Schizosaccharomyces pombe: one gene and its partners. The protein of the gene in region 2 binds, or shares a complex with, the protein of the main gene of each other region. Each region holds a gene or a part of one and is shown on either strand. Other genes may lie near its edges. A codon is read from its position in the direction of its gene.

Region 1 (3,191 bases), on a different chromosome or scaffold from region 2:
CGCTACCACTCATAGTCATATTAGGTGCCTTTGGATTATTTGCTCGCTGCACCATTTTTCTTCTCCTTCCTTTTCCCTTTTACCATGTTGCCCACTCTCGTTAGGTAACGCTCGCATCCGCTATTTTTCAAGTCCTTTTCTTATTATATTATGTCTCTACACTAGAAACATTTTCACATTCTAGTTACGATCCCAGTTAATCAAAATAAAACTTTTTTCAAATACAATATGTTATAGCTTTGTAAACACTTTTCCATTTCCTTGAATACGTTTCTTCCTTGAAAAACACTCCTACAAAACTCATTATTATCTTGAGATTAATAATTCCTTATAATCTTAATGTTACATATATACTAATGCAAAATATAATTTTAAACAGTAAAAATAAAAAAGTCAAAAGGATAGAAACAGACTGTGAACTACTTGTAGCATATTAATGATTTGTATATATATTCGTTCTCTTTTTCGCATGCCAACTTTCAGTCTCATCACTTATTCATTTTGTTTACATAGTATGCAACTGTCTCCATATCCTCCTTCAACTACCTCATCTCTCTTTTCTGCTTTTTCAGAAATCAATGATTATTCACTGTACGTCGCTAAACAAATAACGAATCCAATGCTGAAAGTCACTATTGATAAGAAAACAGCTATTGGCAATACAAACCCGTATGGTCTCACTATTACCTTTTAGCATTGCTAAAAACACACTTTCCGTTATGCATCCCTCCAACACCTTATTCGTTCTTCTTTGCTTGCTACATGGTATGGGGGTTAATTGAGTCGTGCAAAAAGGCTTAAAGAACGCTATGCCTATTCATCATCCTTCTTTAAATGATTGACTTTATCATTCCTGTATATCATTAGTAAATTTCCTTGTCTCATACAAACATAATCTCTCCCTTCTTTCCTCTCTTCTCTCTCATTCTCATCTTACCAGAAAAGTGTCTTGCTACCGTCTCCCCATGGATACTTTTTGAAGCGCAAATTTTCAAAGCTAAACCATTCATTAGTCCCTTCCTTTCATTTCTTCTCTATCTTCTTCATACCTATAACCAGGGTCCGTATCTTCAACATGCTTGGCATGCTCTTGATGCTTGCAATCTATCTCTTGTTAGTCGTTGCAAATCTTCACATTACACTTTTACGTACAAATATAATACGCATTGGCACTAGCCAATATCAATGCTGGTCCACCAATGCTGGCAAATGTTAGCTACCACACAAATTCTTCACTTCCTCATGTTCATACTAATAAGTCACTTTCTTCCAGAATTCTATAAACCCGTTAGTAAGATAAATTTCTATTCCCACAATTCACATACCACTGCTACGCTTTGCATGCTCCTCTTCTGCTTGAACCTCTTCAAGCCAGTTCACCTTTGCTTCGTTACTATAAGCTCGAAAGCTGAGCAAACCCGCTCTCTTAGGAACGCTCGTCTTCAATGTTCTGGATAGGAAGCCAATGTTACGATTCATCATGCTCATTACACTAACAAATTCGCTTTTTTACGATGTTTTCAAGGAGATGGGAGTTGTTGCTTGTGAACATTCTGCTCCTCCCGTACCTTCGTAATTCTACCCATATACTGTAGTAACGCACCGTGTGCATTCTTCTACCTCGGTACAAATTTACCTTAGCAATGTTTAGCGTTCAGTTGCGTAGCGTACCGTACTACTGAAGTGTGGCGCAAAGGGGGAATGAAGTCAAACAACGTTTAACTCAACCACAACCAACAACAAAAACCTCATCATATCTCACCACCAAAAATCGCCTTTCCGCCAAATACATAAAAGCGACTTCAAGGACAAATTATTTCTTTTTTCCATATTAGGAATTGGTAATTTAAACACTTTTAGTCGAATTGAGAGCCTTTTCGTTCATTGCTACGTACCAAATTGCCCTTTCTCAACTTCTGCCTTCCCCTCGGATTTCATCTCTTTTTTGATCGTTTCTCGCTGTAGAGGAACAAAAAGGAAATCTTTAAATCCTAACCGTGCAAAGTTGAACTTTGTTGGTAGCTAGCAAAAGCTCAAAAACTACTCTCTCAAATCACCCTCCAAAGCTTTTCCGCTTTTTTTTAAAAAATGCGGATTCGTAGTGCTACTCCTTCCCTTATCTTACTGGTTATCGCCATTGTCTTTTTCGTCTTAGCTATATGTACTCCTCCTCTTGCAAACAATCTTACTTTAGGAAAGTATGGAGACGTTAGATTTGGCGTTTTCGGTTACTGCTTAAATTCAAATTGCAGCAAGCCTTTAGTTGGTTACAACTCGGATTACCTTGATGAACATGCAAAGGACGGATTTCGTACCTCCGTTATTGTGCGTCAAAGAGCTTCCTACGGCTTGGTGATTGTTCCCGTGTCTGCCTGCATCTGTCTCATATCCACCATTATGACTATATTCGCCCACATTGGTGCCATTGCCCGCTCTCCCGGCTTCTTCAATGTCATTGGAACCATAACATTCTTTAACATTTTTATCACCGCCATTGCTTTCGTTATCTGTGTCATCACTTTTGTCCCCCATATTCAATGGCCGTCATGGCTTGTGCTCGCCAATGTCGGCATTCAACTCATCGTCTTGCTTTTACTCCTTGTTGCACGCAGACAAGCCACAAGGTTACAGGCCAAGCATCTTCGTCGCGCCACCTCTGGCAGCTTGGGTTACAATCCGTACTCTTTGCAAAACAGCAGCAATATCTTTTCTACTTCTTCTCGCAAGGGAGACCTTCCCAAATTCAGCGATTATTCTGCCGAAAAGCCTATGTACGATACCATTTCCGAGGATGATGGTCTCAAGCGTGGAGGCTCTGTCTCAAAATTGAAGCCTACTTTTAGCAACGATAGTCGTTCTCTGTCTTCCTATGCCCCAACTGTTCGTGAGCCCGTTCCCGTTCCGAAATCTAACTCGGGCTTCCGCTTTCCGTTTATGCGCAATAAGCCTGCAGAACAGGCTCCTGAAAATCCGTTTAGAGATCCTGAAAATCCCTTTAAAGATCCCGCTTCAGCTCCAGCTCCAAATCCATGGTCGATTAATGATGTTCAAGCCAATAACGACAAGAAGCCCAGCAGATTTTCATGGGGCCGCTCGTAAATTATCGACCAATCGAGTTTTATCTATCATTTATCATCTCTACATGTTTTCTAATTTCACTTTCAAAGCATTTTTTAACCGTCCCCCCTTTA
Region 2 (2,953 bases):
CTAATACACAAGCTAAAAGAGAACCAAAATTCCAGAAGTATGAAATATTTGAAGGTTCAGGAGCATCAATCATATAATTATTAGCCAAAGCTAAAAAAGGATTAGATTTTAAAATTTTCATAAAAATTAAATTTGAAATTATCCCTTCTAAATTGAACAATCATTATCGATAAATAGTCAAAAATTTGAAGGAATTGGGAAAAAAGATCCAAATCTTATTAAAAGGATATTGGATAATAAAAGATAAGATAGGTTAGATACTATCTGAGATCCTCTTATACCAAAAATATGGGAAAGGGATTGCTAATTAGAGGAATTGAACCTCTAACTTCGTACTTACAAGGTACGCACTCTACCAATTGAGTTAAATTAGCTAAAAAAAAAATACACACCTTCTAGGTGTGGAATCTGTACTAAGAATCGAACTTAGATCGACTCATTAGAAGTGAGATGCTCTACCATTGAGCTATACAGACTATTTTAGAGAAATAAGATATAAAAAGGGGGGAAAAATTGAAGTAAGCCTTAGCTACCCCAAATATAAATAGTTAAATAAAGGAATAACCAAACAACATCACAGAAATGCCAATAATAAATACCACATTCAAATCCATTATGATGAGTATTAGTTAAGTGGTAAGTATAAATATTATAAGTAGCAACAAGAAGTAGAATTGTACCAACAATAATATGAATACCATGAAGACCAGTAGCAAAATAGAAACTAGCACCATAAACAGAATCTGAAATAGTGAATGGAGCATTCCAGTATTCATAAGCTTGACCTCCTAAGAATAAGAATGATAAAGCGATAGTCATATATAAACCTTTTAAAGCATTTTCTCTATTTCTAGCAATTAATGAATAATGAGCATAAGTTAAACTAGCACCAGAAGTTAATAAAATTACTGTATTTAATAGAGGGACTTCTAATGGATCTATTGTTTTATCTGCTATTCCTACTGGTGGCCATACTGCACCTAATTCAAAAGTAGGTGATAATGAACTATGGAAGAAAGCCCAGAAAATAGAAGCAAATAAGAAAGTTTCAGAAATTAGGAATAACATAAATCCTATTTTTAATCCTTTTGTTACTGCTTTTGTATGTGCACCATGAATATTAGCTTCAGTTGACATATCTCTAAACCATAAATACATAGTTGCTAATAAACCTAAGAAACTGATTCCAAAGAATACTGATGAATGTTTGTATCCATGTAAATATAATGTAGCTGCTAAACAGTTAAAGAATAATACTACAGATAAGAAAAATGGCCAAGGTGACGCACTTACAATATGATAAGGATGTCCTTGAAATTTAGTAGAAAGATTCATGTTTAAGCTAAATTAGTTTATCTCAATAGTGTTCTCTCACATATAAGGAATAAAAAAATTATAAAGATACAATTTTGAATAGGATAGCTAAATTATCCTTCAATCTCCCTCTCCAATTTTTAAATTGGAATAAAGTTTATAAAATAAAAGGGGGGTTAAGATTTTAAATTAAATACTTTTTGTAGGTAATGTATTAAATGCGTGTTCGTGTACTGGTGAATGTAGTAACCATTCTATTGATTGAGCTACCCCTAATTTTTCATTTACGAAGATTACATTATCATCAAAATAGCTAGGGATTAAATAAGGATTTGTTTTAACCACTCTATTTGATGTAAATTGATCATACATAACATACATAAATAGGAATAATGAAAGAATAGAAATTACTGAACCAATACTTGATACAAAATTCCATCCCACAAATGCATCTGGATAATCTGGTATTCTTCTAGGCATACCATTTAATCCTAAGAAATGTTGAGGACCGAATACAATATTAACACCTATGAATAAAATCCAGAATTGGATTGAAGCTAGAGTTTCATTGTACATTAATCCAAACATTTTTGGACTCCAATAGTAGTATGCACCACAAAGACCAAATAATGCACCCATTGACAGAACGTAATGGAAGTGAGCTACAACGAAATAAGTATCATGGAAAGCGATATCTAATACTGAATTACTTAATATAACACCTGTTAATCCACCAATTGTGAATAAGATTAAGAAACCAATAGCATATAACATAGGTACTCTTGACCATTGTATTGCACCACCTGTTAAAGTAGCTAACCAACTGAAGATTTTAATACCTGTTGGAATTGCAATAACCATAGTTGCAGCACTGAAATAAGCTCTAGTATCAACATCTAAACCAACTGTGAATAAGTGATGAGACCATACCATTAATCCTAATAAAGCAATACTTAACATAGCCCAAAGCATACCTTCTTTACCGAAAATAGGTTTATGAGCTAAACTAGGAATAATGTGACTAACAACACCGAAAGCTGGCATAATTAAAATATAACAATAAATTTTGGTTAATGAAAAAAAATCACCCAAAAGGTGATTTATTCTTTTTAACACTCAAAAGCTTTATACCCTTGTTAGGACTTTATTTTAAATCTCAACAAATCTAATTAATATTCTTCCGATAGGGATGAGGTTTTTTTATTTGAGAAAGTCCTGATTCTGTTAAATGTTTATTTTCTTGAATAATAAGATAAGCTTTTCTTCATTTTAAATAGCTAATATATTTAGAAGATAGCAAATGATAATTATCAAAATAATTAATAACTTTTTTAGCTGAACCAAAACTAGTAGAACCATAATAATAAGTATCTTGACTTTTTCGATAGCCTATATTACCACCTAAATTATCTTTAATTAAACTCAAAAGATACTCTTTTTTTTGATCTATTTGATAGTTCAATCGAACTTCTATTTTTTTGTCCCTATTTAAAATTTTAATCTGAAAACTAGCATCAGCATCTGAGAATCCAGCTAGCCAATGATTATTTAAATTATTATTTGAATTTAAACCTAAAGTAATAGTTTTACTAAATTCTTTAAATCTAGGATGAGCAAATATATTATTAATAATCTGATT
Region 3 (3,640 bases), on a different chromosome or scaffold from region 2:
ACCTGAACAGAGAAGATGTTCGCTCTTCTTTACATGCTACGAAAGCTTCAACTGCGTTGACAAGCGGCGAGGGTGTCTTCGCAGACGGATGCAATTTTGACTTATACAAAAAGATTGTGAGTAACAACGTAGAATCAGTTCTCGTTGAAATAATTCCACGCTTAACAGAAAAATACAAAGTGTCTTTCTTAGCTGGGGCATTGGATCTTCAAATTCTTTGGACCGGAACTCTTTTGGCATTGCAAAATACAACATGGAATGGATGGCAGGGATTCACTCAATCTCCTGGAAGTTTAGAGACAACTAATGGATTTACTTTGGATGAACGTAACTTAGCCTTTACATTGTCCAACTCGGTTGGGCACATGGCTCCATCTAAAGACCCTCAAATGGTTAGAGAATGGCTTGAAAATACGTTGCTTTATTAAAAGTTTAATATCGGAAAATTTAAAATACAAGTTTATTGACTTACCACTGATGTGGTATATCAATAAATAACTATCGTTTATGAAACTCGGAACGATAATTAGATCATATTTCCGCATGACTACAAGAAAAAAAGAATGGTGCTTGAATTAACAACTAAGATATGGTTGAATAGATAGAATTATTTATAAGATATACGTTTACGAATAATCGAATCGTTCCCAAAATAAGAAATAGATCAGCATACAGTTTTCATTGATTTTTCAAAGTTCAAATAAAAGAGCTAAATTGTTATAAAAGAGTATGAAAATAGCAAGGGGATATGGAAGATTGGTAAGCATACTAATGACTGTGTTCAGCGTTGGGATCTCCCATGAATTTTAATTTGTATACAGATCCGCATTCAGGACAACGGCGGAGTTTGTCTTTGTAGACAGTCATCCAAATTAAATTATGTGAACCAGAAGGACTACCAGTACAGCCAATATGACGGTAAGGATCAAGAGAAGTGACCATTATAGGATCCGTCAATGTGCCTTTACGAGAAGCATCCAACGGTTTCATATCAAATGCATCTCTCCCTGAAAGCTCTGATAAAAGTTCATATCGTTCCAAACCAGTGGCTTGCTCCAAATCAGTTGGAACCTCGCCGTCACGACCACCAGGTCCGATCAAATCAGAAGGTTCCTTAGCGTTGGCTAATTCTTGAGCGGCGGCTTTTACAACTAAAAGAATGTTAGTGAAGGAGATAAAAATTAAGCTAAAAAGCCCTAAAATGTATCGGCAGCACAAATTAACAAGTCATATCTACTAAGCGACTTAATAGATGAAATAGAAAGCGTTTTAAGAGAGTGGGCTATAGGCAACGTCGATTTTCATTCTTTTGATTACTTTTTAGGTCTGTAAAATATAGAAAAGAATGAATGGGCACACAAGCCTAACTTCCGATATATAATTAATAGCAAAACTGTACATCGGAGATCAAGAGTCAACGGAAGCTTTACTCCTATAGCCAGTACTAAACAAGCTTTAACCATTAAGCTGCTATGACAAACTTTACTAAGCTTTCAAAGGACTTACCGTTTTGCTCATTACGGCGGATTGAAGCAGAAACAAAGCCACGGTACAGAGAAACAGTACTCCTGACCGCTGCTCTTTGTCTGGAGACACGAAGCATAGAATTCATAAACATCTTAAAAGACAATTATTGATGATTTATAACCTGATAATGGGTGAGATGGGGTGTTGTGTAGTTTCCAACGTTGGTCCGGTATTGTGTAACGAAATTTGGTAGGACAGCAAGCTACAACAGAAAAAAAGATGAGAAGGTTAACAAAAAACGGAATTATTTCTTAAACAGTTACGAATAAGATGATAATGGGGAAGTTCCAATATTACTATTGCCTTAATTATATTGTATAAAAAACGAGTAGTATGAGATGTCCTTTTCTTGATTGACTATCGGTGCTCATAACTTGCTAAACATATCTGAGTGTTATAATTAAAGGGATCATTGCTATATTTCTACTGATTGTTTGTGTTTTTTAAGGTTCATGAGCTATACCCTGGAAGAAATTGACTTAAATTGTTTTGTTTACTCATTTCTTATACAACTCTTTATGAACTAGAGGTTTAATGTATCATGTTTGCCTCGGGAATATTAATTATTTTAAAAGCAATATGACCGAAAGAAATAAATTCCCTAGTGATGAACGATTTTCAGGTCGTTCATTTTCGATCTTGTCCTCTCAATTATTACAATCCGTTTGTTCTATTGTTTAAAGCAAACATGCATACATTCTCTGTATATTACTGACCACATTGTGTTAATCAATTAAATCTAATACGAAATACTATTTTTTAATACCTTTTCGTTGGTTCATTTAGTCGTTTCTTTTCATCTAGTTTATTCACATTAAATTTCATAGCTTTTCATAATAATTGTAAAAAACGTTGAGGTGTCTTTCTGCTATTTTGTAGCTAATTTACAGAGTTAACTATTGAGTCAACCAACTAAGTTGTTTATTTAGCAACTTCGAACATAACCCAAGCGATGAAAACCAAATTGATAAATATTTATGTAATAAAGAAAGAGGAAATATGTGAAGCTTTTATTAACTTCGTAGACGTTAAACTATTCCCAAATTTCCTTCTAATAACGAATATGTATTACGCAGTTCATTATTCCGCGATATTTAAATTGCCATAGTTTGGTGATAGTTGACGCGTTTGGCATCAACTTAGTAGCAATCCAGTGCTTATTCGGGACTCGAATATATCTTGAGAACACAAAGTCATATCTCTTAACTTCTTAAGTGTACTTTTTTATTAAGAGAGCTTTGAGGTCAACCTGTTTTCTCGAAGCTTAGGCTTAAGTGACTTCGTTCTTCTTCCATTCATAGTTTCGATACTTTAACAAGTTTTTTTTACAAAGGATCGTCAGACTTCTGTATCGATATTTTCCCCACTATGTCTGATGCTGAAGACAGCGATTCGATTGTAAATGAATTTGTAACGGCAATTGTTCGAGAATCCGATAAGTTTGCCAAAGTGCATTCTTATCCCATGCAGTATGGTACTGGAGGATATCGCGCTGAGTACGTTGATAAAAAAAGAAACTTACTTTTAGTTTAAATGGAAATTATTAACATTTTATTTATAGCGCTGAGCTGCTTTCGAGTGTTGCTTTTCGCACAGGCGTAATCGCCAGCTTTTTGTCAGCCAAATTGCATGGACAACCTGTTGGACGTAAGACACATACTTTTATTATTGCGAGATGATTCATTTACATATTGATATCCATCTTGTTCCTTTGTATTTCTTTGAGTTTACTTACTAACAATCTTAGTTATGGTGACTGCCTCGCACAACGCCTCTTCCGAAAACGGGTTAAAGATCGTAAACATTTTGAGTAGCCTGGATTCTAGCAAATGGGAAGCATACCTGGATCAAGTAGTAAATGCGGATTCCGCTGACGAATTAACGGTTTGTTTAACTTCAATTTTGAAAAAGGCAAAGATTATTCCCGGTTCTGAAGCTCGGGTGTTTGTTGGCTATGACTCAAGGTTTGTTTTACTTTTATTGTCGATATTAGATCACTTAATTTCTCCGCTTTTTTAAATCTTATGTCCAAGACTAACATCTAATACTTAGGTCTACTTCAGAAATCCTTGCGCAAGCTGTAATTGACGGTATTGTGGTCTGCAAAGCAAAG

The links. Proteins that work in one complex are often made in the same cells at the same time.
Region 1: the proteins of cox3 (region 2) and cox13 are in contact, whole or in part, in a cryo-EM structure (PDB 8C8Q), measured with the Schizosaccharomyces pombe proteins. Residues at the interface, in YP_011104931.1 of Schizosaccharomyces pombe: Tyr38 (codon at 1,224), His40 (codon at 1,218), Glu117 (codon at 987), Pro124 (codon at 966), Val125 (codon at 963), Gly126 (codon at 960), Ile127 (codon at 957), Leu135 (codon at 933), Glu136 (codon at 930), Leu139 (codon at 921), Leu140 (codon at 918), Val143 (codon at 909), Ile144 (codon at 906), Thr147 (codon at 897), Ala150 (codon at 888), Ser151 (codon at 885), Thr153 (codon at 879), Tyr154 (codon at 876), Tyr157 (codon at 867), Ser158 (codon at 864), Ile160 (codon at 858), Ala161 (codon at 855), Arg162 (codon at 852), Met173 (codon at 819), Tyr189 (codon at 771), Trp190 (codon at 768), Ala192 (codon at 762), Pro193 (codon at 759), Phe194 (codon at 756), Thr195 (codon at 753); in NP_588417.1 of Schizosaccharomyces pombe: Glu46 (codon at 1,353), Glu47 (codon at 1,350), Ala50 (codon at 1,341), Lys51 (codon at 1,338), Ser53 (codon at 1,332), Ser54 (codon at 1,329), Trp57 (codon at 1,272), Lys58 (codon at 1,269), Thr61 (codon at 1,260), Tyr62 (codon at 1,257), Gly65 (codon at 1,198), Leu69 (codon at 1,186), Ala72 (codon at 1,177), Ser73 (codon at 1,174), Asn75 (codon at 1,168), Ala76 (codon at 1,165), Ile79 (codon at 1,156), Tyr80 (codon at 1,153), Tyr97 (codon at 1,054), Phe99 (codon at 996), Glu100 (codon at 993), Asn101 (codon at 990), Leu102 (codon at 987), Arg103 (codon at 984), Lys105 (codon at 978), Tyr107 (codon at 972), Pro108 (codon at 969), Trp109 (codon at 966), Thr115 (codon at 948), Phe117 (codon at 942).
Region 3: the proteins of cox3 (region 2) and cox4 are in contact, whole or in part, in a cryo-EM structure (PDB 8C8Q), measured with the Schizosaccharomyces pombe proteins. Residues at the interface, in YP_011104931.1 of Schizosaccharomyces pombe: Leu3 (codon at 1,329), Ser4 (codon at 1,326), Thr5 (codon at 1,323), Lys6 (codon at 1,320), Phe7 (codon at 1,317), Gln8 (codon at 1,314), Gly9 (codon at 1,311), His10 (codon at 1,308), Pro11 (codon at 1,305), Ile73 (codon at 1,119), His74 (codon at 1,116), Gly75 (codon at 1,113), His77 (codon at 1,107), Thr78 (codon at 1,104), Lys79 (codon at 1,101), Leu159 (codon at 861), Arg162 (codon at 852), Arg164 (codon at 846), Tyr233 (codon at 639), His234 (codon at 636), Leu235 (codon at 633), Thr236 (codon at 630), Asn237 (codon at 627), Thr238 (codon at 624), His239 (codon at 621); in NP_593042.1 of Schizosaccharomyces pombe: Ala49 (codon at 1,119), Lys50 (codon at 1,116), Pro52 (codon at 1,110), Leu55 (codon at 1,101), Arg61 (codon at 1,083), Asp62 (codon at 1,080), Gly63 (codon at 1,077), Glu64 (codon at 1,074), Val65 (codon at 1,071), Pro66 (codon at 1,068), Thr67 (codon at 1,065), Asp68 (codon at 1,062), Glu70 (codon at 1,056), Gln71 (codon at 1,053), Thr73 (codon at 1,047), Gly74 (codon at 1,044), Leu75 (codon at 1,041), Glu76 (codon at 1,038), Tyr78 (codon at 1,032), Glu79 (codon at 1,029), Glu83 (codon at 1,017), Phe90 (codon at 996), Met92 (codon at 990), Asp157 (codon at 795).

Annotation. Positions count from the first base shown.
Region 1 is NC_003421.2:2,045,848-2,049,038, forward strand, and holds cox13 (cytochrome c oxidase subunit VIa), read right to left. Parts: upstream 1,541-3,191; 5' UTR 1,489-1,540; coding exon 1,326-1,488; intron 1,278-1,325; coding exon 1,253-1,277; intron 1,203-1,252; coding exon 1,153-1,202; intron 1,105-1,152; coding exon 1,050-1,104; intron 998-1,049; coding exon 938-997; intron 854-937; coding exon 814-853; 3' UTR 565-813; downstream 1-564. Other genes in the region: protein mug33, read left to right, coding at 2,089-3,099. UniProt on the Schizosaccharomyces pombe protein: Component of the cytochrome c oxidase, the last enzyme in the mitochondrial electron transport chain which drives oxidative phosphorylation.
Region 2 is NC_088682.1:7,343-10,295, reverse strand, and holds cox3 (cytochrome oxidase subunit 3), read right to left. Parts: upstream 1,336-2,953; coding exon 526-1,335; downstream 1-525. Other genes in the region: cob (apocytochrome b), read right to left, coding at 1-121; cox1 (cytochrome oxidase subunit 1), read right to left, coding at 1,504-2,371.
Region 3 is NC_003424.3:709,279-712,918, reverse strand, and holds cox4 (cytochrome c oxidase subunit IV), read right to left. Parts: upstream 1,685-3,640; 5' UTR 1,619-1,684; coding exon 1,507-1,618; exon of another isoform or gene 1,201-1,506; intron 1,152-1,200; coding exon 769-1,151; 3' UTR 565-768; downstream 1-564. Other genes in the region: serine carboxypeptidase Sxa2, read left to right, coding at 1-428; SPOM_SPAC1296.01C (phosphoacetylglucosamine mutase), read left to right, coding at 2,896-3,023, 3,089-3,174, 3,275-3,491, 3,580-3,640. UniProt on the Schizosaccharomyces pombe protein: Component of the cytochrome c oxidase, the last enzyme in the mitochondrial electron transport chain which drives oxidative phosphorylation.